7 linked regions of the Nothobranchius furzeri genome follow. The protein of the gene in region 7 interacts with the protein of the main gene of each other region in a pairwise test. Links are inferred from orthologs where the notes say so. Each region holds a gene or a part of one and is shown on either strand. Other genes may lie near its edges. The genes, in order: psma1, srek1ip1, snapc3, phf1, mpg, ca8 and hsd17b14.

Region 1 (4,167 bases), on a different chromosome or scaffold from region 7:
TTCGTGTTAATTTTAGAGAAATAGAGAAAGCGTATAAATTTGTTTAATTCTGTCATTTTGATGTTCCAGACTTGGGTCATGCTGCAGCCACGCAGCAGCAATTTTATTCAGAGTTGAGCTTTGTGTTAGGATGGGAAAAACAGAAAAAGGCTGCAGTTACCCTTTTGATGGCCTGCAGCCACAGACGCCTCCGATTTTGTTGAAATGGATGTGCTCCCTTCGGAATTCTGTAAAGTTTCAGTCCACTGCTTGAAGAGAAGCGATTCTGGCATCCATACACGCAACAACCCGACATGTTTATGTGCTCAGAACTTCAAAACAAAGGGTTTAAAACGCTGTTTTAGTATCGAGTGTGAATGAGAAAGCCTTCACTCTCGTTGCCAGGCTGCGCGCGCAACTTTTGATGACGTAGGTAGTAAAAGGGTCTATATTGTGGATGAAAAAAGGAATGGTCTGACAGCAGAAAGAGCAGAAATGCTTATATTCCTCAGAAAGAACCTGTCATTGTTTAAGTGAGATTAGATGAACAACATTTAAGTACCTCACGCATTTACATTTTTTTTCAAGAATAGTTCCAGACTCTGACAAGATTGTTAACTTTATCTAGGTCACCTGCAATGCAAAATCTCCAATGCTTGAATTGTACTTTTCAGATGCACACTGTTGCTGTTTGTTTACATTGCACTTTTCTTTAATTCAAAATGTTTAACATTTGAAAACTTTTGTTTTTTTTACTGCTACATGAGCAAAGACTTACTGAATTTGTCTCAGATGCACTTTTTTTTGATAGTGTGATTTTATACTTGAAAATTACATTTTTGATACTACAAAAGACAGTGAACTTAATTTGTGGGGATTGGATAAAGCCCTCTATTTTATTTGGAGTAGTTTTATGGAAGTTTACCCTTTTCAATTCATATTTGACAATTTAAAAATGTGTTACTGCCTAGTGTGATTATTTGGACCTGGGCTGTTTAGTTCAATTGAAAGGGTTTGTTTCTTTGATTGTGCATAATGCACTTGCGTCCAGTAACCCTGCCTTGAAATTGAATAAATTTCAATTTGAAACATTAGTTGCTTTTTTATTTTTATTTTAGGATAGACAATTAGTTGTTTTATGACCTCGCTTATCTCAACTTATCTTTTGGGACATGGTGCTGGGCTCTTACTTGTAGGGCTTTCTCTCAATTACATATCATTCTTGTAGAAAAGAGTTTATTATAGCCTTATAAAATCAACCATAATAATAATCATAATGACATTAAAACAAATATTCCTCTAGTATCGAAATAATATCGGTATCGGTAGATATTCAAATTCAGTTATCGGAATCGGAAGTGAAAAAATGTGGATCGATGCATCCCTAGTTTCAGGCTGAGTAGTGCTCCTACAAAACTAGCTATAGAGTCATGCTGCATCACGTAAAGTTTGGTATTCTTGACAACCATAAACTTTACCTTCATCCTATGATAATTCTAGTTTTCCTTGTGGATGGGAATCAGCAAAAGGCCAGCATTTTCAACAACACAGAAACTTGTAAATGTCAATAAGAGACCACGTTCAGGTCCCTTACTGACATCAAGTGAGAGGAATCTAGACTGGTGACAGTTTCAGCAGTGAGATGTACCTTTAGTGCAACCAGGACTGCATGTGTTTTGGATTTCAGTCCTACAGTTGCAGATCCTTGCTTCACCGCCTCCATGGCATATTCGATCTGATGGATCCGCCCCTGTGAGTGCACAAAAACGAGCATAAGCAACTTGTGTGACATCTACACTTGGTGACTCATGCTGAGGAAAACTTACCTGTGGGCTCCATACTGTCACATCATTGTCGTACTGGTTGCGGAACTACAGATAAAGAAAAACAAATCCAAAATTAGATTTAGAAGTCTTACATTACAGAATAATCATCAATGGTTGAACTTACATAATCGTCTTGCATTTTATTAACTGTTTTCTCACGTATTTCTTTGACGCGATAAGTTAACAATGTCCGTGCCTGTAGGTCTACAGCCAGGTCTTCTCTACCCAGAGGTTTTAAATTACTTTAATGAATAAATAACTGATAATCTCGCGATTTTGCTAAGCTCCCTCCGAACCACAAGCAGCCTTCAGACTGGCTGAGGTCATATTCCTGCTCGATTTCTGTGTACCAATTGTTTAGTAAAATGCTGACATTAGAAATACTTGTGGATCAATTCGTAGCTATCTTAGCTTTACCACACGGACAGACAAAATAAGTCACTATCAAAATGAACGGTGAGCTGAGAAACCGAAAGCACAGCCTACCCCGAGCATTGCTAAGGCTAACTTAGAAGCTAATGTTAGCTAACAATTAGTGTTAGCCTGCTGCCGGCTTTGGACTCATCTAAATAAGTAATGTTGTCATATCGATTACAATTTCGGGGGTCATTACGTATTATTCAATGTAACACAGTAAAGCAAACACACTGGTTTATGCGAGTAGGCAGTCATAATCAGTGTAGCGCCAACAGTTTCCAAGGCTGTTTTGCTTACTCACAATACAGACAAAACTAAGCTAGTTATGTTAGCTCACACCGACTAAATTGATCCTCTAAATGATAAATGAACAGGCATAACGGTAAACTAACTATTTTATTTTTGTGTAAATAATGTATAATTTTAAACTGGCAAGACTAAATGAAATTTCATTCAAACCTACCATTTCTGATTAGGAGTGTGCGATGCGGTCCACACTTCTCGATTCTCGATTTCTTTTCCTGGGCGTTACGTCAGGGAAAAGCAGCAGAGCCCTGATTTCAAATCTCTGATCGACTGAGTGAACAAACGTTATTTATTTATTTATTTATTTATTTATTTATTTATTTATTTATGAAAATAAAATTTAAAAGACACACTTCTCCTTAGGGCTTTATTTGACTTTCAATTTTTTTAACACTTGCACATATTATTATTATTATTATTATTATTATTATTATTATTATTGATGATGATGATGATGATGATGATGATGATGATGATGATGTTGTTTAACCACCAAATAATTGCAGCCACTGCTGCAACTCCCCACTCCCCACAGGAATTGGTCAAATGTGGAGAAGCAATTTCACCAATGTGTGATGACTAATGGGACTTTAAGAATTACAAACATTTTAATTAAGAATCAATCTATTTTAGTATAGAAATTTGTTACATGCAAGTGACTGCCACATTTGACTGAAAAGTCTATGAGACCAAGATAGAGATAAGAAAGTTTATGAAAATTAATTAGAGAAAGAAAAGGAGATGTAGGTATTCGAGTCCCACTAGTTGTCACACTGGTGTGGGAAAGGTGTTCTCTGCATTTGATCCATCTCCTTGGGGAGCAGTGAGCTGCAGACATGGCTGCACTCGGGACTCATTTGGTGGTTTAACCCTTTTTTTAAGGTCTTTGGTATGGCCCAAACATATTTGAACCAGGGATTTGAACTCACCATTCCCCAGGCTCAGGGTAGACCCTCATACCACTAGGCCCCTGAGTCAATTGCAACTTGTGGTTACACAAACAGCACAACCAATGTATTAATCATATATTTATTTACCAAAAATAACCTAAACTAAAATGTAAAAATAATGTGGAAAAAATGACCTCATGCAGGCTTTTTTTAAACTTTTTTTTATTTCGTTTATTTATTTGTAATAATTTTTTTTAAATTTACATTTATTTTTGTTTTATCATCTTTATTTGTTGTTTGTACATTGACTCTGTTGTCTTTCTTTTTTTATTGATTGTAAAGAAAGAGGACCTGCTCGAAAATGAGATGGCTCATCTCAAGCGGTTTACATCCTCATAAAATTTAAGTCAAAATAAATAAATATATGTAGTTTTTCTGAACATTTTGCGAAGGTTTTTTCTCCTCATCACTACAGAAACCTCTCATCTTTACACATGCAGTGATGGTGCTTGAACACTAGGTGGAAGCAGTAAATGAGGAAATCCAACAGATTTTACCAAATTGGTGACACTCAAAAACATGCGTCACTGACTGCTGTTACAGCAGAAACCAGTGGGAAGGAGAACTAGCTGAACCAAGACAAAATGAGAGATATTGTACCCACATTTGTCCATTTTTGGTCTCTCACTGTGTTCACACCTATTTAATCTACACTCAGGCTTTACTTATCCCAACAATATTCAGATTTT
Region 2 (4,030 bases), on a different chromosome or scaffold from region 7:
TACTTAATACAGCCTTATTGTGAAAGGATCTGAATGCACTTCTTTTAGGGACTTTTGAGCATCTTTAGCACTAGTGAATAACTCCAAACCTTTCATGAAGCTGAAACTTCTCTTTTAAGTGCTGATGTTGTTAAACAGCAGTTTACCAGATAGAAATATGAGGTGTGATGCTTCCCTCTAGTGGCCATGTGGCTGCATATGAACCATATTTAGTCCGTTTTTTTTTTTTTTTTTGTCAATCAGGATTGGTGGTTTATTAAATTTGGTCAGATTAGATTACAAAGGGAAAACAGTGACAGATTAAACTGAAACAAACATGTTTTATTCCCAGTAAAGGGTCAGTGATCAACAGAAAACTAAGACAAACCTGCAGTAATTACAGCAAAGATGATGCATTTCACTGACTGTTTATGCATTTTTGCAGAAACCTCACACATGCAACCTACACAAAGAAAGGTCAGGATTTGAACCTGTGACCTTCCCGCTGCAAAGCAACAGCACTACCAACTGAACCACCGTACTGCCCTCATGTTTAAAAGCACTTTGACCTTTTAAATTGATCCTTTTTGACTAAAATACATAAAAATAACAGAAATAGGAACTTATTAACCTGCAGTATGAAGTGTTTAATATTTTAAATCCTTGTATAAAGATGGGTTCCTGACAGTCTCAGAGGAAATCAGCAGTCATTTTAACCCTTACGTCATATTGTTGCCATTAATCTGTAGCAGACAAAATTTACTTTAACACTCAGAAAGGAAAGCTCAGATGAAACTATTTGATTTGCTGCATTTATAAAGTGTCAAAACGCAGACCATCTACACTTCTGAATAAACACGTCGTCCAGAAACGACACTGTTCAGTCACTGTCTGATGATTCACCAGAGGTGGAAGAGGATGATGAGGATGATTTGTGTTTCCTCTTCTTCTCTTTCATTTTGTGATGCTTCCCGTGCTCTTTTTTGTTCTTTTTACTCTTCTTCTTGCGGCTTAGTTTCTTTTTCTTTCTTCTCTCCTCTTCATCCGACGATGAGCTTGATCTGCTTCGCTTCTTCTTTTTTTTTGTGCCCCCATCACTCGACGACGAGTAAGATCTAAATTTTAAATAATAGTTACTGGCTTTGGTAAAACCAAGAAAACACTTCAAATCTTTAAGTATCAACTATAAAAACATCTAAAATAATACATTATTAGTCTATCTTTAACTAGTGGAATGAAAAATATTTTCCAACAACTTACATGCTTTTTTCAACACAGTAATTGAGAATATAGGAGCATTAAAAACACGTATCTTAATATAAACACAAGATAAATGACCTTTTTCTTGACTTTCTGTCTTTGTTCTTCTGTTTCCGCTTCTTTTTTCTATCGTCATCATCATTGGAATCTAAAACATTGAAAATAATGAAAGGAAAAGTCGACATTGAATCAAAGCAAGTCACAGTAGAAGCAGAACAGGACCTGAATCATAGAAGAACAGAAAGTTTGATTAGCATTTGAAAGTCTCTTGTTTGATTTTTTTTAGTTTCTTATGTAAAGTAAGCGGTGACGGTCTGCCTCCACATTGAGAGGATCTGGTTAGGATGCCTCCCTGGTGAGGTTTTCCAGACACGTCAAACTGGGAGTAGACCTAAAGGAAGACCAAGGACAAGCTGGAGGCACTATGTTTCTCAGTAGGACAGGGAACGCCTTGGGATTCCCCCAGAGAAGCTGGACCAAGTGGCTCGGGAAAGGGAAGCCTGGCCCTCTCTGCTTAAGCTGCTGCCCCCATGGCCCGAACCCGGATAAGCGGAGGAAAATAGATAGATGGATGGTAGTCTGCACTTTCTTTGCTTTATTTTAATCAAAATATTATTGATTTAAGCAAATTTTAAGCCATCTGACCTTTGTGATGCTGACCACTCCGTCCCAGTTTCTCTGTGTGCTGAGAAACTGGTCCGTCATCTTCACTCTCCTCGCTGCTGGTGCTGCTCACATCCAGAACAATGTCTTTCTGCGGGTCGACCCGGACGAAGTTTCGGCACTCAAACGTCAAATGTCCCGCTGAGAAACGAACACAAAAAGAGATCACAATTGAAACACTAAATTAAGGAAAAGAACATTTGTTCAGATGGAAAAACGTCAGTGAAAACATTAAATCTAATTATTTACACAGTTCTTCATTACTGATAGCATATTTTAAATCATATAACTTGTTTTTGGCTCATTTTAAACAAAGTACCTCTATCTGTCTCCAAAAGCATTTAAGATTCAAAGAATTCACTTTTCAAATGTAACTTGAAAAATAAATCGAATGCATACATTTGTACTAATAAGTAATCTATTAGATAAAGTTACTTACGATAGCCACATTTCTTACAGCCAGCTCTGATGTTGTCTTTGTTGGCAGCTGTCAGGTGATACAAGAGGTTAAATATCACGAAGATTCACGCGGGAAAGCGCTTTATGACTGCATTATTTCTTTTTCAACACAGAAATTGTTTAACGATATTTAGCTAAGTTATAATATATCCAGGATTTGTGCGAAAATGCCAGGAGTAGTCTCCGTGTTTGTTGGAGGTTTAACTGTTGTAAAGATGAGCTCCACTTTACTTATCTTATCTACGCTAAATGATCAAAAAATTAGCCTAAAAACACTCAAACAGAACCCCTACCTGGTGCCGCCATTGTGCTTTTGGTGATAAAACTACAAATTTGTTTTAAAAAATATATATTTCAGAGCGAATGCAAGTCTACAAGAACAATACCGTCGACCGGAAACATTTGCACCTGAAACTACTGCTTCCTCCCTCTCTTCTTCTAATTTCCTGTTTAGAAAACAAAATCAGTGGCTCAATGTCGCCACCTGCTGGACATGTGCTAAAAACAAAGACCTACAAAAAAAAAAGATCGTCTCCAAAAAATATAAATAAATAAAATAAATCTTATGGTTCCTTACAGTTACTAGTATTATTTATTTATTTATTTATTTTATTTTATTTTATTTTATTTTATTTTATTTTATTTAACCAGGGAAAGCCCATGGAGGTTAAAAAATCTTTATTAAGGGAGACCTAGCTAGCCAATAAGGCAAAGATCAAAACGACGTTCATTCAAGAAGAAAAAATAAGCATTACAATGAACACTGGATATATTTAAAGGAAACAGTTGGATGTTGTCATCATTGGGTCTGTGGTGGTACTTCAACATCAACAAGGTTTAAACACATGGACAGTAGTTTTGACCACTTTTTAAATTTAATTAAAGTTTTTTAAACTGAAAGGGTCGTTGAGATTTACATCTAGGAATGTCCTTGCAGAGCAACAATAAATAAAACAGTTTACACATTGCAGAAAAACAAACAAACAAAAGCATTAGGATAATCAGCAAACGAAAAAGGATTCAGGTAGTTTGTGCAGCAGCCAGTGACAGAAATTCATAAATCGAAACATGTACCTCCAAATGTTTAGCTAGTTCATATTTCAAGTTTTAATTAAAAATACTTTGTTTTCATAAATGATATCTCTGTAATCAACAAAAACTCGTTATTTAGCAATGTTTGCACTTTTCCTGATTGATTTACCAGCAAAGTCTGGTGTGGTTTTATTTGCCAGGGGTTAATTGACAGCAGCCAGGCTTGAAGATGGAAAATGCTGACAGATGTTGGGCCCCCAGACGTGCTGTCATCATTAGGTCTGTGGCTGTGACACACACACACACACACACACACACACACACACACACACACACACACACACACACACACACACACACACACACACACACACACACACACACACACACGCACACACACACACCAAACTGCCAGAAGTAAATCTAGAATTAACTTAGTAAAAAAGGAAATGATAAAGTAATCAGAAGATTCCCCATAAAAGCTGATGTCCCTGAAAACATTTGGCAAGATCAAATGTTTTCTAAATAATATTTTGACATTCCTGTAACATCTGCATTCAAAATAGAAAACTGGAAAAAATAAACTTATCTGCATCACTGTTGGTTTACGTCTGCAGGTGAGAGAACAAAGCAAATT
Region 3 (2,303 bases), on a different chromosome or scaffold from region 7:
CCTTTCCTTGCGCGTGTTCCCTCCAGTTTAACTTCACCAGACCTTGCATGACTCTGCTGATGACCGGCTCCCACACCCTGACTGAGCTCAGGGATGCCATTTGCTGCATCAGTGATCTGCAAGTGTGCGGCGAGTTCAGCAAGACCCCAGACGTTGCTCCAGACTTCATCAGCAAAGTATCCACATGCCTCTAAACACACACCCACACATACTGTGACAGTGCTCTTAATTAGAAAGTTACTGAAGATGGTAGGAAAGAATGACACAACATAAAGCTGCTGTTTTGATATGTTCTGTTTCAGGATCATTTTAAGTCGGCATTCTTTTTCTTTGAGGGAGTTTTCTACAATGACATGAGATTCCCTGAGTGCCAGGACATCAGCATGTAAGATTGTATACTCCTATTGACTGAGACTGTTTAGAATATTTGATTGTTGAGCATCTAATTTTCCCCTATTATTTGTAACTCCAGTAAAATCAATAACAACGTTCTAAAAGGCACAACTCTGTATATTCTGAGATTGGCAATTTTTATGATTGATTTCTGCACCTTTTTGCTCCAGCACTACTGTTGAATGGGCAAAGGCCCATAACTTCCCCCAGTATAGTCAGGCCAAGATGGAGGACACGCGCTTTGTGGATCTGAAGGTGAAAGTAGGATTCCCGTACCTCTATTGCCACCAGGGAGAATGTGAACATATCATCATTATCACAGATGTCAGGTTGGTGTTGTGTGATTAGAGTGTTTGCATCACACAGAACTAGTTTAAAGCAACACTAAAGAAGTTTTTTGCATCTCCACCTACTGGTTGAAAGTTGAATTACAACCGTCGTAAAAAAATCTACCACAGCCTGCTGTAGCTAGGGCTAACAACGAGCTATTGCTAACACGAGCCAACTGATACTAATTCAGCCACGAAGTATAAAGATCCACACTGTTGGACAAAAACAACTTACAAGTCCAGTGGCAACAAAGCCAGGTCACCATCAGATTGTGATTTTGTAGCCTCCTTCAAACAAGTTTGGCCTGCACCGATGTTCATTCTACTTTTAGCTCTTAAGTTCCAGGCACTGTCATGAAGTCAACAAAAAAAGCTAAATTATTCTTTTTCTTGTACATTTATCAACAGTCAGCAAACCAAAAAAGCTAACTGCTAGCCTTTATAGTAGCCACTGATGCAAACAGCTATTGCTGTAAAGAAGGTAGAGACCTCCAACTAGAGTCTCTACCCGAACCACAAAAAGCTTGAGGGCAGTTTCTGATTAGCAGAGGGCTGCAGAGTGCTGTCCAACGTGAAGCTGGTCAAGTTAATGAATCAAGAATCACTGAAACCAGTTTAAAATCAATAACTTTTAGTGTTAAAAGGTCTTAATTGTTGCTTCAAATCTGAGGAGTACGAGTGAGAATAAAGAAAACTGCATGTGTGTAAATAGTTGAACGAGATGTGTTGGAAAGCACTTTGCAGAACTTTGAGGAGGTTTTCTTAGTGTGGGCAATAAAACACGAAAGTTTTAAATTAAACTGTGAAGAAGGTCGCACGCGCCAAAATGCGTCGGCTTTTCCTTTTTTTTTTCTTGCTGATAATAAACATTTTTCAGAGTGCCTCGGGTTACCTGTTTTTCTTCCCCATCCACATTCCATAATTTTAAATGAAACCATTTGAAAATACACAATAAAAAACACTGATTTGCAAAGCTGCAGTTTCATTTGAGGGGAACTAAAGATTTACGATTGAGTCAATGAATGAAAAGCATTTTTAGGGATGTGAGAAAACCTTGATACACTGAAATATCACAAATAAATATTAATATTTAAAAGCAGTGTATCGATTTTAAAAACAACTTGCATGCTAACATTTACTGCAGGGGTGTCAAACTCAAACTCACACGGGGCCGAAATGAAACTCTGGGACGGAGTCGAGGGCCAAACTTAATATTTTTTGAAAAAGTGACGGCAAATTTGCACATTTTCTTTATCAACATATATGCAATTTTGAACCTTTAAATTTGGAAACAAACATATTTCTGCATTAACACTGAATGAGGAATAACCAAATTACACACGAGCAAGTCAGTTTTAAATAAAAGGCATCAGTGGTATTCATTACTTGTGGTATAATCAGCATTTTATAAATCTATTCAGGATTTATGTTTTCTTGTTTATTCATTTTTCTTATTTTTTTATTGTCCTTTTTTCTCCTGTAATACGTGTCATCGCTGCTGTGACATCTAGCTTTCCCCACTGAGGAACAATAAAGGGATTTTCTATTCTATTCATCTATCTGCAGCCTTTCCACTTCCTG
Region 4 (4,273 bases), about 56 Mb from region 7:
ATCAGATCAACTCTCATCCTGATCTCAGCTTTTAAAAACCACTGATCTCAGGGCAGTTTTAGAGTCAACATCATCAAAACCCGTTTTTGGTGTCTCTTGGTAAGTCTATTTTCCTGACAACCACACAAGCGTGATTTATGATTGTCTGACACTTTCAAATCTTCTCTGATTCTCCAGCTGCAGTGTTTCCAACAGACTTCCTTGTGTTTGCGCGCCATCTAGTGATCACTTACTGAAAATAACACTTCACCTTCTTTTGAAGAAATATTTACCAGAGGCCATTTTGAACCAGCGGTGTTACCGTGCTCGTGTCTGACTGGTGAAATAAACACACGAACAATCTGGGATTTGTCAGAACTAACCAGTAAGCACGTAAGTGAGCTAATGTAATATTTTAGGGTCTTTTATTAAGTACTTCTCATTTTATTTGAAGTTAACTCATGTTGTTGGATAACTTGATTTATATCGGTATAGTTTCATATTTTGAGAAAATGTTGAAGCAAGTGTGCACGAGTTCCTCATGATGAGTAAAACGAAACTTTTCAGAATCAGTTGTATACCGCTGATGTCCTTAAATGACCTGTGAAAGAAGAGTAAAGTTCATGTCAGCAGAGACTAAAATTACAAGACCTTTTAAAGTGTTCTGCTGTTAAACTTTTCTCCACCGGTCTCCTAAACTTGTTGAAGACCAATCAACGAGGCGGGAAAATACACTAATTGGCTGCTTAATTGGCCGCTGTTACGCGCGCTTCCACCGAGGCTGTGGTGCCCTCCTGCTGCCCTTAGAGCTCAGGCATCACTGTATTGTCACAACTGTTTACCGGTCATGCTCTCAGACGATAAGGAGCCCCCCTCCTCGGTCGGATATGTCGGTGTTTTATGTCTGCGTCACAACAAGTCGGCGGAGAGCGAGCGGGAGGGATGATGGCGTCTCTGGCGGCTTGATTCCGGCGCAGCTTTGACAAACCCGCACCGTATTAGTAGCTGGGGGGGGGGGGGGGGGACGGAGGGGGAGCAACAGCGACGGGAACATGACGAAACGGCATCGCGGAGGACGGACAAACTAGACTGAAAGACGGACAGTCGCCTTTGTCCTCCTCCTCTTCCTCCTCCTCCCCCTCGCTGACGGCTTGACTGACACACTGGCGCCTGGCAGAGACACAGAATACATGCACATCTTCTACTTTTCTGTTTCCTTTTCTTTTTTTTTTTCTTTTCCACCAAAAGCTGCGCATCGCAGCAGGCAGGAATCTGGGCAGCAGGGATCCACGGCAGATGAGGGCATTTCCTGTCCAGGAATCACCGTGACCCCGACGGAAAGGAGTTCGACTTGACAGGTACCCTTCACCGGCCAGCTCACTGTCCAATTGGCTCCATCCTCCATCAGATGCTGCTCAGCATCCTGCATCTGCGTAGACCTGAGTGCATGCACCGGAACAAATGCAGTGTGGAAAAAGAACAGTGTCTGCAGTCATTTCACGCATCTGTTTAAGTTTTCTTAAAAACTGAGAAGGTGGCGACAGCAGCAAAGTCCACCGAGGATGCTTCAAGTGGCTGCACAGGGAGCTCTGCCTGTTCAGTGAAACTGTGTTGCAGTAACCATCATGCAGTGAGTGTGTGTGTATGTGAGTGTGTGTGTGTGTGTTTGATGTGTGCAGTAATCATTTATCTTCCTCTCTGGTTGTGTATACTCACTCTCATCCTTCACTGTGCTGGATACAGGCTGTATGCTCAGGTCTAAGAAGGAGGAGGGGGGGGGGGGGGGGCGTTTAGATTTGAACCCATTTGCACCAAAACCCGACTGTCTGAGAGGCAGTCAGAATGCCGGGGCTGTAAACCCCTCCGTCAGCAGCGGCGGCGGCAAAGTGTTCAGCAAATAAATCGGATTTCCATTTCACACGAGCCCTGCTCTCTCCTCTCTGTGTCTCTCCTCAGGATGGGGGGTGTCAGTGAGGGAGATGATGTGTTGGCTCGTTGGAGTGATGGACTACTGTACCTTGGCAATGTAAAACGGGTATGTGTGTGTGTGTGTGTGTGTGTGTGTGTGTGTGTGTATGTGTGTGTGTTGATCCAAAGCACTCTGATGATGATGATGTTTGGTGTCTGCTCTCCTCAGGTAGACGGAGTCAAGCAGTGTTGTCTGGTGAGATTTGAGGACAACTCTGAGTTCTGGGTTCTGAGGAAGGACATTCACTCGTGTAAGAAAAACTTTCTTTTCCCGTCAGCTGGAGGAGTTAGAAACTTCCCTGCGCCGAGAACTTTTCTGACTGAGCAACAGATTTCAGCAGCGAGTTTCCTGCAAGTCTCCAAATTATTTCAGGCCACGTTTAGGAAGATTTCCTGTTGCTGCTGCTGAAAACGTTTCTGAAAGCTATCATTAACATGCATGTTTTCCTTTTTCAGACTAATGGTTAGAATGTGGTCAGTGAAAGACTATTATTTTTTTACACTTTAATTTGAAGGATTTGGGCTTTCTTGTAAAGTTTTCTTCAGTTCTCTCCTCAGGTTTGATTCTTTTTTTGTCATTTTCTGGTCATAGCAGAATTTTAAGGTAAACATTTTTTTTCATTTGCTTTAAAATGAACACATTTGAGGCCAAAAGAAGTGTCCGAATTAAAGATGCGAGAAAAGTCAGGATGTCTCTAAAGAATCAGGGCCAGAGAGATCCATCATCCTTAAGCTTGATGGCTCTTTCAGCTTCACCTTGTTGGAGCGAAAATCCGCATCTGTACCTGTCAAACTGGGAACTTTTTACTGCCTTTTTAATAGATTCGGCTAAAAACGGAACATGTTGTGTATGTGACAGGCTTCGGGTAACGGCAGAGCTTAAAGAGCCAATTCAGAACTGGTTTTGTTTTGTGTTTACACAATTCTGGCTCTTCTCTTGGGAGCCTTTTTCACATCTGAATGACAGATCAGAGATTTACCTCAGCAAGTCAGGAACCTTTAGTGTCGAAGTCAAAGGGTTGTTACTATGGATGCACATTATATATCTGCATCAGGTCGGTATCAGTTTGATAAGTAAATCTGGGCCGATATTGGCAACAAATATTTCTTCCATCTTGTTTCTGTTTGTGTTTCAGTTTCAGAGGGTGAGAGTGATGTGTGACTGTTTAGTCATGTTACAATGATGCGTAAATGTGTGTGTATGTAATAACACACACACACACACACACACACACACACACACACACACACACACACACACACACACACACACTGGTATCGGCCCAAAATTTCATATTGTGCATCCCTAGTTGTTACTTTATAATAAGAAATGCAGATACACTGCAGATCCAGCAGTGGTGCAAAGAACTGCAACACCCATAATGCATTGTGTAAATGAGCTATTATAGGCCTTTCTAAACACGAACACCCTATTTAGCATTTGGTTCTGAACTCAACCTGTAAATAACTCCTCAGAATGCTCAGCAGTTTCCAAGAAGAATAACAACAACAGTAACAATAACAACAACAACAACAACAACAATAATAATTACAATCAGGTGAAGCTTTTCCTAAAACAGCCTACTTTCAAATTTTCTGTCCATTTTTTGACTATAAAATTGACACTCCCTCGTTATTTATTTCCTAAGTTTCTAATAAAGAAGCTTAATGAACCATTAAAGGACATTCCCAAATGTGGTTGGAAAAGCAGCTGAAGTTCAAAAATGACTTTGGAAAACTTCTGAACAGGACCTATTTTTTAAACAAGGCCTTTTTATTCAAGTTTTAACAGTAGATTTTAAACTTACCAAACTATACGGGACTAAACCCATCGTCCCCACCCACAAAGGAAATAACAGAAACAAACTATAAAGACACACTATCAAATTAAGACAGAAATGGAACAAAACCAGATCCACTACAAGGATGTTTTAAAACAGATTACAATATAGCCTGAGTGCTTGGAAATAAAGAAATAAACAACAAGACTTGAGACTTTTGCACAGTTCTGTTGAAAAACCACAATTTTTGACATTTTATGAAATAAAACTTTAGCTTATCCGCTGTTTGCTTGGACCTCACATGTGCAGTCTTTAGTTATTATGAAACCTGATATAGTCTTGAATATAAATCCCATCAAGATTACTTCTAGGCTTCAAAATAGTTTACTTTCAGACTTAAGCCCTGTCCACACGTAGCCGGGGATCTGCCAAAACGTAGATATTTTCTACGTTTTGGCCTGTCATCCACATGAAAACGGAGTTTTTTCACACGAAAACGGATCTTTTTAAAATCTCTGGCTAAAGTGAAGATCTGCGTTTTCTCC
Region 5 (4,099 bases), about 2.5 Mb from region 7:
GAATGTTTGCAAGGTAATGAAGTCCACGTTTAACAAGTAGAGCTTTGTGTTTGTTTTTATACTTACTGGGTTGGGTGTTTTATTGTAAAACATAAGAACAGATAAAATATTAATGTGTTTCTGCCTTTTTTTTTCCAATTCCAGGTTGCTGCATTATTTCCGGGGACATCACCACCTGGAAGAAATTATGTACAATGAGAACATGAGGCGCTCGCAGCTCAAGACGCTGTTCGACAAGTTCCGCAGTGTCCTTGTAGTGACCAATCACGAGGATCCCGTAATTTCCATCTTTCAGTCTCCCATGGATTAGCAGCTGTTTCAGAGCAGATAATCTGCTCACAGCCGGGTTCTCCTTCACCACAAACTGAGACGAAAGCATACGCGTGTAAAGATTTACAACACATGAAAAAGTGTTCTCTCTTTGAGCCAAATGTGGGTTTACAATATAAAATTATTTTGTAAGCAACGGACATGCCTTAAGAGGCCACTGTGAATACTGGAAGGACTGGTGTGCTGGGAGATTGACGTGATCTCCCCACCCGCTTCACGGGGTCACAGTGATCCTTCCAGACCTCCAACTACCTTTTTTTAAGAATTCCAGAGGTTTTGATGGAAAAACTGTTATGAAAAGGAAGAGACGGAGCATCAAACTGATGGTTGAGGGGAAACTGAGCGTTCCAAACATCTGTGGAGTCACTGAAAGGAACATTTCCCACGTGGGAATGGAACATCACAGATGACACTGAGAAAGACGGTTCAGTACTTTGACAGGCACTGATCTACTGAATCCACTTTGTTAGATCTGCTTGGTTACTCCGTTACACTCTTCTGTATACTTTTGCATCAATAAATGCATTTCAAAACTGTAAAATAATTTTTCTATCCTTTCAAATCCCAGCCGGAGTTTATTTCATCACTTTGACTTTGAAACAGCTGCCTACATATTCTCCATATAATGGCACAGTTTCATGTTATGTTCTGTGTAACGTTTGGGGTATTTCCACACCGCAATCAGATAACGTATGCGAGTTTAACTTGGGGTGGGGGGCCCAGATGGAAAAGCATTTTTAGGAATCTTCCTCCGTTCTCTTCGTCTTTACAGACGGCACATCTCGTGGACCTGAACTGAACATTACATTTCCAGATGGAGACAGCCTCTCTGCCTCTTTATTAACAACGCTAACACACAGGTGCCCATGGAGATAAAACCTCCATGGTTTCTTGGCCCATTCCCCGTGGGACTCGATCCCGATGCGAGGAGCTGATACTACGTCTTGGGGCTTTGCCAGGCTTGTGTCTGGATCGGACTCCAGCCACACCTCTGGGTCTGAAGCGAGGTCTCTACGGTCAAAACAGCGAGGTATATTTAGAGCCTGGCACAGCTTTGAAGGCCCGTTACAGAGCTCTTTGTCCTTCAGTTGGCGAGCCCCTTCTTTGCGCCTAGCTGCCCTCAGCTTCCTCATGACAGAGTGACCCTGGAGGGGCTCCAGAGAGCGCAGCAGAACAGCAGCACCCTCCCCTGAGGAAACGGCACACAATATGCATCCATTAGCAAGGCTCCATTAGGTCTCATTCCTTTTTCTCTTTCGCCAACAAAATAAAACAAATGCTGACTAGCTCAAATAAAACACAGAGCAGAGCTGCATGTGTGCAGTGAGGATGGACATGACCGTACCTTCACTGGACACGTTCATGCACAGATAGATCCCATAGATTGGATACACATAGATTGTGCCTGGCTTCATAAACATGGCTGTGTTTCTTTCAGTGCGTTTGCCTCCAGATGAGTGTGAAGCTTTGTCCTCTCCTCCAGGATACGCTTCAGTTTCCACTATCCTCCCGCGCAGCTCAGTTCCATCTGCACACCTACGGACCAACACCTGGCAGACAAAGGTCTGGGATTAGTTGACAAGCAGAGAAGTTATTCACTGAAAACTTGCAGGGAATACATGTGTTATTGTGTTCTGATACAGTTACATACTAATTATGTTTTCACATGGGATTTTAAGATAATTGTGATTTTTTTTAAATATTTTATTTATTTACCAAACTGGAAATAAGGACACTATGTGAGACAAAATTATTTGACTTCCGTTTCGTTTTCTGATTAATTCCTACACTGAAAAAACACTTATAGGTTTTTGCAGAGATCTGGTCTAGTTTGATCGTTTTAGTGCACCAACCTAGTCCCACAGTACATTCTGATGTAGTTTTATAGCATTTTAATAAGAAAGGAATGACGCACTTTTGATTTTTTAATAAATACTGGTTTATTTAGAACATCTTTTCCTAAAGATAGGCAGATTTTGATATGTGGGGGTGAGAATTTTAGTTAAGGGTAAAATGAAGTGTTGCTAATAAAAGTAATAAAGCATAAATGTTAATTATTAGTACCTTGCCAAGGAACGATCTAGCCAGACTGATACAAGGCTGATTAAAGAAGTCCTGCTCCAGTCTGTGCTGAACGACATTGCTGCTGAAATAACGACTTCGCTCCGGTTCAACGCTTGGAGTTGGGTCACATTTAACTGGCTTCATCGGTGGTTCACGTTTGGACAAAGCCGGCTCTTTCTGTGTTGGATCAGCTGTTTTTCTCTTCCTTGCAGCCATAACATCGACTCGGCCCACAGCGGGGCTCTAAACTAAAATATCTCCACCACACGCCCACTCCAAAGGTCTTCCTGTGTTTCACTAGCCTGGCAAGCCAGACAAAATAAATGTATTATTTAGAATTTGGTCTAGTTCACTAGGCTATGTTTCACTGCAGCGTTGATGATTGTATCGTACTACATACCGGAAGTAAATTATTGTTTTTTTTCTTCTCTTAAAGGGACCGCGCGCCTTTTTGACGTGATGTGATCACAAGCATCCAAGAGCATCTGGCTGCAGACATCATCTTTTTTTAAACAAACTTTATTTGTTTTTGTCACAAATACATAGTCGCACTAACAAACATACATCAAATATACACACGAACAGACATCAGCTCATTAATTGACAAGAGGCACATAACAGATAATACAACCTTCCAAAAGGTACATTTTTTGATTGTTTTTGTTATGCAGGGTCAATCAGAAATAAACATTGAAGACTTATTAAAGTGAGTTCTGCCTTCTTATTTACAATTAACTTTATGGTGTTAACATATGAATGGAAGTCATTTAAGAAAACGCAAAAGTTAGGGAGAGATTTGGAGACCCTCGCTTTATGTATATGAAATTTCCCTAAAAGAAGCATTAAATTAATTATAAAACTTAACCTTTTATCATTACATTCAAACTTGATAATAACATCCTTAGATCTGATTTGGATAGAGTGTTTGGATTTAATCATAATGAAATTTTCCATATCTTTCCAAAATCCAGATGAGAGAGGACAATTATAAAATAAGTGTATGATAGTCTCTGAACCAGTGTGACAAAAGGTACATTTCTCATCCAGATCCTTGAACAATGATATTTTTTTGTTACATGGATAAATATTGTGTAAATTTTTGAAATTAAGTTCCCTTATCTTGTTTGAAATACAGTATTGAAAGTGAACCATCCATGCTTTCTTCCAATTTATATCAAACTGTGTGTTCCAGAAAAACTTTCCTTTGGGTGCCACTGTATCAGAACAACATAAAACCTTCCTTATATGCTGGTTTGAACATTTCTTGTCTAATAAATCAATACCCCCAACTTTTAGAGATGGCATCTGCAAACTAAATCTCTGATAAACAGAGTGTGCTCTCATTAACTCAACTATGCCTGAAGAAATGGCTCTCATGACCGAGGCAAATTCTCTGTATTTCACTGGAAAGTCCTTAGTTTTCAAAAAGTTTTCATAGGTATAAAGGCTTCCGTTATCATCAAATAAATCCGCAGCAAAAATGATGCCTTTCTCAACCCAATTAATTTTGTATAAGCTTTTGTTGTTTATGGTAATATTACCGTTATTCCATAATATTTCTTTGTGTGGGGAGAAATTATGTGTATGGCATAATTTCCATGCAAGTAAAGCCTGCTGGTGAAACATTGAAAGTTTCACTGGTAATTTAGAAATAATAAAGTTGCAACTTAACAGAAAATTTAACCCCCCTACCATTTTAAATATG
Region 6 (4,015 bases), on a different chromosome or scaffold from region 7:
ATGGAGGCTGTAGTTCAGTGTGATATTGACCTGCATTCTATTTTATGACCACCAGGTGGAGACTTATTCAGCCACATAAGACTCAAGAGGAAATCCTGATTTTCTCTTGAATCTTTACAATGATAAACCTTCTTTTCATATATAAGTGCATTTTTTAAAATTTTCGGTGCAGCTTAATATTGCGTACAAGTTTCATTTGATTTGCTACTAAACTCAAGGTCCAAAACTATTTGTCACCAAAAGTGAAACCTACATAAACATCTATGACATGTCTTCTGTGGCAGATGCAGAAGTCATGTCATCACAACATATCTGCATTAAGGCATTAAAAAGTTGATTGAAGTTTCAAATGTAGACCACATGCGTATAGATGTTGTATGTTCTGTTTTCAGAGCGTGGAAACAAGGGAGGCTGACTTTATTCTGATGGCTCCAAGGACACTGTCCAGATAAAGAATGTAGGGTAATTAACATAATCAGCCTGGAGGAGATGGATGTAGAAAAAAAATCAAATGAACAAACTCTTCTTTTTGAGTTTCTACACATTTCTCTGAAATACATCATATTCTGAATGTCACTGATCAACCTTTTCTCATTAGAACAGCTTACCAGAAGTGAATTTTCTACTTTTTTTGTCTATCCATCGTGAAGTCATCAAGGTAGAACAGTCAACCCTTTCTTTCTACACCTCCTGCTGTTTTCAGTCTATTTTTTAATCATTGCTGTTTCCTTCACCCAAGGGTGGGTCTGGGGCCTCCAAGAAAACACCAGTGTGACCTTCCTGCTTGCATTCCAGCACAAGCACATTCAAAACATAGACAGGACTCACCCTTAAAAAAGATTCACAGAACTCAGACCAACCTGGAAGGACTGAACTAAATTTTCTGCAACTCAATTGATTTCCACCCAGGATAAGAGGGAAAGTCTGTGGTGGGGTGGAAGACAAACAAACACTTGCCTGTGACCATTTGGAAGAGAGCCATGGTGGGCAGGCAGGCACACCTGCAGCCCGCAAGAAAAGGAAACAAAGAAAGGAAGGAGGAAAGAGAGGAGGGGAGACAGATAGCAGAAGAGCAGAGAGAGAGAGAGAGAGGAGGAGGAGCGACAGAAAAGTGAAACAAGAGTTCTCATCTGTTATAGTTGCTTTAAGAGGGCAAGAGCTCCAGAGCAGAGAGGAGGATAAAGAATAGAATGAAAAAAGAGGAACTGAATAAAGTAGTTTTAAAAAGTTGATGTTTTACTGGGAATTTATCCAGCAAATACTTCACTTTGCATCCAAGTGAACAGAGAAAACCAGTGAGGCTGGGAGTTTACTGGGACAGCAGACTGGTTTCTACTCACTGCTAAGAACCATGGCCAACCACGTCAACGTAGAGTCCGATTATATCTCTGGGAAGGATGAGCTGGACTGGGGCTACGAGGAAGGTAGGCTGGTCACCATGAGAAAAAGATGGTGTGTGTGTGTGTGTGTGTGTGTGTGTGTGTGTGTGTGTGTGTGTTCTTCTGCATTCTTCAAAACCTGGACTTGGATCAGTGAAATGTACCTTTTTCTACCAGTACAACATGTGCAAAGAGATGTTGGCTTTACTCCCATGTGTTGCAAGTTGCTCAAGGTTGACCAAAAAAGCCTTCTGGACAGAATATTTGAGACTTTTAGCCCCAAAAAGATTTAAAATATTTTTACCTTACTTTCTTTTAATCCTTTCCAAACAAAGACTTTTTAATATGACAGCAAAACAAGGATTATAAATTACAATTAAAAGTATAATCAACAGACCACACATTGATTATAAATCTGATAGCTTCACATTGAAATACATGGGTAAAGATTTCCTATGGTGTACTGCAGTTAGCATAATACAGGTTCTTACTGCCATTACAATCTAAACATGCAGCACACACACACATGCGTGCACGCATTCAGAGTAATCTGTACTATTATTTATTTACTATTGGCTGATGAACTAGACCAGTGGTTCCAAACCTGTGGTTCGTGACCCCCAAGGGGGTTCCCGTAAGATTGCTGGGGTACCTATAATTTTGTCTTTGGTGAGGTAAAGTTAAAGTCCTAGTAGTTGTCACACACACAGGTGTGTGTGCGAAATTTGTTCTCCGCATTTGACCCATCCCCTGGGGGAGCGGTGAGCTGCAGACACAGCCGCGCTCGGGAACTATTTGGTGGTTTAACCCCCCAATCCAACCCCTTAATGCTGAGTGTCAAGCAGGGAGGCACTGGGTCCCATTTTTTCAAAGTCTTTGGTATGACCTGACCAGGAATCGAACCCCTGATCTCCCAGTCTCAGGGCGGACACTCTACCACTAGGCCACTGAGAAAGGTTGATTGTGTGCATGCAGGTAGGAGCTGGGGTTGGGGGGCCCTGGCTTGTCTTGGACACAGGAATGGGGGCCCTCATGAAAAAAAGGTTGGGATCCACTGAACTAGACACAGTCTTTGTGTGTACAGTAGATAAAGTTTCCTTTTAATCATCTGTTAAGTCAGTTTATCTAAAACAAATAAGAAATGTGACACTAAACAGCTGCTGTGACGAGGCGTAGCCCGCTCTGCTGCAGGAGCTAGAGAAAACATTAGCGGCTGATTTTTACATAACAAGGTGGGAAACACTCTCATCTTAAACACGGTAACCAGAACTTTAGTGGTTTATAAAAACCAAAGGGTGTTGTTCTTGTGTTGTCTCACTTTGTCTTCCCTCATTCTGTTTTTACTGAGCGTCGGAGGATGAACTGATTCCGTTCTGTGATTCTTACTGTGAGTATGCTGACTGATCAGGAACATTTCTGTGCATGAATAAGATTAAATAGTTTCACATATTTTACTGCAATTTAATCAGATTTTTAATAAAATGTGTCTGTTTTGACACATTTTAGAAATGATAACTGCGTAGGGCTCTTGTGATATTATAGATTTATATGATATAAAAATAAACAAAATAAACCCAACTCTATTCTGTTCTAGTTCTATTTAATTCCCTTTAATACAAATTTAGTAGAAAGCTGTACAAAATTTTTCCAGTCGCGATTTTCTGCAAATTAGTTATTTAAATAAATGTCAATTTCTACAGCAAAGGGTTTCAAACAATAAAAAAGTACAGTTGAATCTGCGATGGGAAAGAAAAGCATCATGATAAACAGCTAAATAGCACAAATACATGAGTAGAAAGGGGATGCAAAGAGAGGTGCATTATGGGATGCCTTCTCACAGCCTGGTTTATTTAACAGCATAGGGATGAGGCCATATAGACTTTAGCAGTTTTTAACTAATAAGAAATTGGCTCCAGTGAAATAAAGTATACATTTGTTTACCACAGTGTCATGAGCATACAGTGTGAAAAAGAGACAAATCCTGCATTATCTGTTGCTTTTGTCTGAGAAGATTCTATGCAAGAGCCTTGCATGCACACAGAGCTTTGCAAAGCCTTTTCAGTTCTGCAGTGAGACCCTCACGTGTTCAGAAAACTGTTGTCATGGCTTTAGTTGCTGAGGAAAGAGGGAATGTTACATCTCCGTGCTTAGCTGTGGAGAGAATAGTCCACCACTGTGGAGGGTTTGTCCCTGCGCTATAGGGAGACACACTCAAAGGAACTTGGAGGGAGAAATGTGTGTTTTCAGCATTTTATGTTTAGTTCATCTTTTTAAAACACACCAAGTTTGTCATCTGTAATGTCATTTTGGGTTTATTAGCCTATCACAGGAGAAAATAATGGGAGTAAACTTTTTTCAAAGTCATAATTTCACCATAATATTCATACATCTATGAATGTTAAAGTTCACAACAAAATATTTATCGAGCAAGGTAAAAAAAATTAGATTTACATATTTATTTTCCAAACTAAACATTTAGGTCGGACCTAAATATTTAGTTTGTGATATAAATGTTTTACTCCAAATTAAATTTTTAGCTTGCGAGCTAAGTTTGGATCTTTAACATTTATAAACGTATGAATAACATGGTGAAAATATGACTTTGAAAAATGGACTCCCATTTCCCCCTCCTCTTT
Region 7 (2,989 bases):
GGACCTCGCGGATGCGTCAAGCATAAACCAACCTTAAGAGCTGCAGCAACAGTGGGCCCCATGGTTTAACAGGAAATTGTTTAATGTGAACTTTTAGTTGTTATTCATATTAGTTTGTCCTTATTTGTCTCTTCAGATGTTGATCTCAGTCACTGTGCAGCTTTATGGACACATTGATTGCCTGGTCAACAACGCTGGCTGGCGTGAGTCGCCCTCTTGATTCTTGCAGACGTATTTGAGAATGAAGCTGCAGATTAATTTTTAGATCATCTTCATCCTCAGACCCTCCTCACAAAGCCACCGATGAAACAACAGCAGAGGAGTTCAGAGAGCTGCTGAATCTCAACCTCATCAGTTACTTCCTGGCTTCTAAAGTAAAGTTTTATACGTGCGTCAACAAATAATTTAGCAGGAATTTTTTTTACCTATGAATAGGAAAATAGTGTAAAAATATTATTTATTTTTCCTTAGAAAATATATCAGAGTTGAGAGCAAGAGAAAGGGGGAAAAGTTAAAAAATACAAAACATCTCAAGTGAATAGTTTATTTGGTCACGTCCTAAAACTTTGTGGGAATTTCATTTTAAAAAATGTACGATTTAAGGTCAAACTGTCTGATAATGGAGACGTTTGTTTTAAATAGAAGGCTTGAAATGATATTGGAGTTTAAAATCTGATTCATGAAATTTGGGAAAACAAAATTACATAAAAATAACAAAACTACAACTTGATAAAGGGAATGTGTCATCTCCAGAACTTGAATTATTAATAAAGTTTATTCAAACCTCAAACTTACAAAAAATCATGAGAAAAAGAATTTGACACATATGTGAAATTACGTTTTTCTCATTTTTATTTTATAAATAAAACCTACCCCCAATAACAGCTTAGATTTGTAACATTTGTGTAATAATATAGTTTTTATACTCCTGCGTTGTTGCAAAGACCTTCCCATCATGCTTGTGTGTGTGTGTGTGTGTGTTTGTGAAAGCTCTGGCTCTCTCTGCAGATTGCATTACCCTACCTGCGCCAGCATCAGGGAAACATTATTAATGTTTCCAGTCTTGTGGGCACAATTGGTCAGAAAGATGCTGCACCCTATGTTGCCACTAAAGTGAGTTAATAGATGCTAGAAGAATATTTTAAAAACCAGCAGAGCTGCTCTGTAATGTAACGTTTCCTCCACAAGGGAGCGATCATCGCCATGACCAAGGCCATGGCTGTGGATGAGAGTCGATGCAATGTGAGAGTGAACTGGTGAGGCAAACCTCTCTTTGATGTCACCAGTTAAATATCCAATAGGGTAATAATGTTATTTGCTAAAGAAGCCAAACAGTGAAATTTTACATTATTTTTAGATTTATGGCTTTTTGTGATTTCCTTGCTGCTTGAGGAATAATTAGCAACGGTTTCAGTAATCGTGATTCTCAAACTACATGTGAAATTAGAAAAAAATAAGTTAATGTGCAAAATTCTTTTCTGCTAGTAATTCAACTTAAAAGGTGAAACTAAAATGAGATATAGACTCAGTGCATGCAAAGCCAGACATTTCAAGCCTTTAGTTGTTATAACTGTGATGATTATGGCTTACAGCTGATTTGTTTCAGCATCTCTCCAGGTAACGTGATGACGCCGCTTTGGGAAGAACTTGCAGCACAGACGCCAGATGCTGCAGAGGCCATCAGAGTGGGAGAAAATGCTCAGGTTAGCTCAGGAAAGTAGCAAAAGCTTTTCATTAGGTACAGTTTTTGTGTCAAGAGCATGTAGCAGATGATTTTTGCTGATGCAGCAGAAGTTGCCTTGTGTTAATGTAACAAACAGCTGTACAAGACAGAATAGAGGAACAGAATGTTTCTTGATATCAAATTTGTACCAATTTTCCTTGTTTAACAGCAGTAGCTGTGTGAACAGCTGTTGATGGCAGAAGAAACTGCCTGGTACAACCAGTCACATGTGCTTTCTCCTCCCAACAGCTGATGGGTCGTATGGGAACAGAGGCTGAGTGTGGACTTGCTGCCTTGTATCTGGCTGCAGATGCCACTTTCTGCACCGGGATCGACCTGCTGCTCAGCGGAGGGGCAGAACTCAACTACGGCTTTAAGAGTCAGATCCTGTCCTGATCTTTCTGACCTCTACAGCATCGTGTGGCTTTTGAGCAGCTGGAAATTATTTTCAAACTGAAAAATCACCTGTTTACATACTAAAATCAACAGTAATGGCTCATAAAACAGGGAGGTTGGTGATGCAAAAAAATTAAGTGTCCCTTTATTTTATCTGCCTGGTTGAGTTTATGGGTTAGGGTTATGTTGGCATCCAGGCCAATTGTAACTAGACCTGCACCACCCTCCAATGCTAGACCAATCAGTATTAAACATATTTGACCTACAGTAACCTCTCTGCCTCTAGCCCAATCAGATGCCATGCATTTGGCACGCCTCTGTTAACTTCCTAGCTAAGACCATTCAACATTAATAAAGCCTTAAAAATTGACAGTCTCATTAACTTTGTCCCCCTTTTTACCCACTGGCATTCTTATACATATGGTGTAAATAGTTAAAATAAAAACAAGTACCAGTAACATATTGTTTATAAACCTGGTATGAGTATTTATGTGAGGTGCCTTGCTGTTTTCTGGCACCACAGCAGCTGGGCGGAACTAATGTTTAGTTTGTTTGTTTCCACACGAACGGATAATCTCGTTTTTATCAGCGCTACGTAGAAGAGATGGCTGCTCTCCGGACCGTGAGTTCATTCACTTATGTCTGTCTGGGGTTTATCTGTTTTGACTGATAACCTGGGTTAAAGATTAATTTGATTCATCGATAAATGTGTATCCAACCACAATATAAGATAACGTTCCCTGTTTATCACCTGGCATTACGCGCCTGCAGTCTATCCCGCTCGCTGGAAAAAGGAGAACCGAACCTGGAGTTGGAAATATTAATTTTAGTGTTCGGGGTCAAAATAACTGGCATTCGCGACCGCTGTAG

The links.
Region 1: the proteins of hsd17b14 (region 7) and psma1 interact in binary tests that used the Homo sapiens proteins (3 or more experiments, as listed by UniProt). The two-hybrid records come from large-scale screens. The link is inferred for Nothobranchius furzeri from reciprocal best matches to the Homo sapiens genes HSD17B14 and PSMA1.
Region 2: the proteins of hsd17b14 (region 7) and srek1ip1 interact in binary tests that used the Homo sapiens proteins (3 or more experiments, as listed by UniProt). The two-hybrid records come from large-scale screens. The link is inferred for Nothobranchius furzeri from reciprocal best matches to the Homo sapiens genes HSD17B14 and SREK1IP1.
Region 3: the proteins of hsd17b14 (region 7) and snapc3 interact in binary tests that used the Homo sapiens proteins (3 or more experiments, as listed by UniProt). The two-hybrid records come from large-scale screens. The link is inferred for Nothobranchius furzeri from reciprocal best matches to the Homo sapiens genes HSD17B14 and SNAPC3.
Region 4: the proteins of hsd17b14 (region 7) and phf1 interact in binary tests that used the Homo sapiens proteins (3 or more experiments, as listed by UniProt). The two-hybrid records come from large-scale screens. The link is inferred for Nothobranchius furzeri from reciprocal best matches to the Homo sapiens genes HSD17B14 and PHF1.
Region 5: the proteins of hsd17b14 (region 7) and mpg interact in binary tests that used the Homo sapiens proteins (3 or more experiments, as listed by UniProt). The two-hybrid records come from large-scale screens. The link is inferred for Nothobranchius furzeri from reciprocal best matches to the Homo sapiens genes HSD17B14 and MPG.
Region 6: the proteins of hsd17b14 (region 7) and ca8 interact in binary tests that used the Homo sapiens proteins (3 or more experiments, as listed by UniProt). The two-hybrid records come from large-scale screens. The link is inferred for Nothobranchius furzeri from reciprocal best matches to the Homo sapiens genes HSD17B14 and CA8.

Annotation. Positions count from the first base shown.
Region 1 is NC_091744.1:46,382,969-46,387,135, reverse strand, and holds the start of psma1 (proteasome subunit alpha type-1), read right to left. Parts: upstream 2,801-4,167; 5' UTR 2,689-2,800; coding exon 2,686-2,688; intron 1,851-2,685; coding exon 1,806-1,850; intron 1,730-1,805; coding exon 1,628-1,729; intron 1-1,627. UniProt on the Homo sapiens protein: Component of the 20S core proteasome complex involved in the proteolytic degradation of most intracellular proteins. This complex plays numerous essential roles within the cell by associating with different regulatory particles.
Region 2 is NC_091748.1:63,077,273-63,081,302, forward strand, and holds srek1ip1 (protein SREK1IP1), read right to left. Parts: upstream 2,801-4,030; 5' UTR 2,668-2,800; coding exon 2,655-2,667; intron 2,390-2,654; coding exon 2,342-2,389; intron 2,044-2,341; coding exon 1,885-2,043; intron 1,388-1,884; coding exon 1,318-1,387; intron 1,095-1,317; coding exon 860-1,094; 3' UTR 301-859; downstream 1-300. UniProt on the Homo sapiens protein: Possible splicing regulator involved in the control of cellular survival.
Region 3 is NC_091744.1:14,009,504-14,011,806, reverse strand, and holds part of snapc3 (snRNA-activating protein complex subunit 3), read left to right. Parts: intron 1-26; coding exon 27-176; intron 177-302; coding exon 303-385; intron 386-563; coding exon 564-722; intron 723-2,303.
Region 4 is NC_091745.1:62,322,322-62,326,594, reverse strand, and holds the start of phf1 (PHD finger protein 1), read left to right. Parts: upstream 1-1,473; 5' UTR 1,474-1,604; coding exon 1,605-1,609; intron 1,610-1,935; coding exon 1,936-2,014; intron 2,015-2,116; coding exon 2,117-2,198; intron 2,199-4,273. UniProt on the Homo sapiens protein: Polycomb group (PcG) that specifically binds histone H3 trimethylated at 'Lys-36' (H3K36me3) and recruits the PRC2 complex. Involved in DNA damage response and is recruited at double-strand breaks (DSBs).
Region 5 is NC_091745.1:3,714,262-3,718,360, forward strand, and holds the start of mpg (DNA-3-methyladenine glycosylase), read right to left. Parts: upstream 2,801-4,099; 5' UTR 2,611-2,800; coding exon 2,395-2,610; intron 1,881-2,394; coding exon 1,676-1,880; intron 1,520-1,675; coding exon 1,068-1,519; 3' UTR 311-1,067; coding exon of another isoform or gene 145-310; 3' UTR 14-144; coding exon of another isoform or gene 1-13. Other genes in the region: GATOR1 complex protein NPRL3, read left to right, coding at 1-13, 145-310. UniProt on the Homo sapiens protein: Hydrolysis of the deoxyribose N-glycosidic bond to excise 3-methyladenine, and 7-methylguanine from the damaged DNA polymer formed by alkylation lesions.
Region 6 is NC_091751.1:59,036,832-59,040,846, forward strand, and holds the start of ca8 (carbonic anhydrase-related protein), read left to right. Parts: upstream 1-1,215; 5' UTR 1,216-1,351; coding exon 1,352-1,424; intron 1,425-4,015. UniProt on the Homo sapiens protein: Does not have a carbonic anhydrase catalytic activity.
Region 7 is NC_091745.1:6,244,590-6,247,578, forward strand, and holds the end of hsd17b14 (17-beta-hydroxysteroid dehydrogenase 14), read left to right. Parts: intron 1-136; coding exon 137-203; intron 204-282; coding exon 283-374; intron 375-990; coding exon 991-1,113; intron 1,114-1,188; coding exon 1,189-1,256; intron 1,257-1,606; coding exon 1,607-1,703; intron 1,704-1,972; coding exon 1,973-2,119; 3' UTR 2,120-2,489; downstream 2,490-2,989. Other genes in the region: bcat2 (branched-chain-amino-acid aminotransferase, mitochondrial), read left to right, coding at 2,724-2,741. UniProt on the Homo sapiens protein: Catalyzes the NAD(+)-dependent oxidation of L-fucose, yielding L-fucono-1,5-lactone, which rapidly converts spontaneously to L-fucone-1,4-lactone. Can also act on D-arabinose and L-galactose, with lower catalytic efficiency. Does not use NADPH.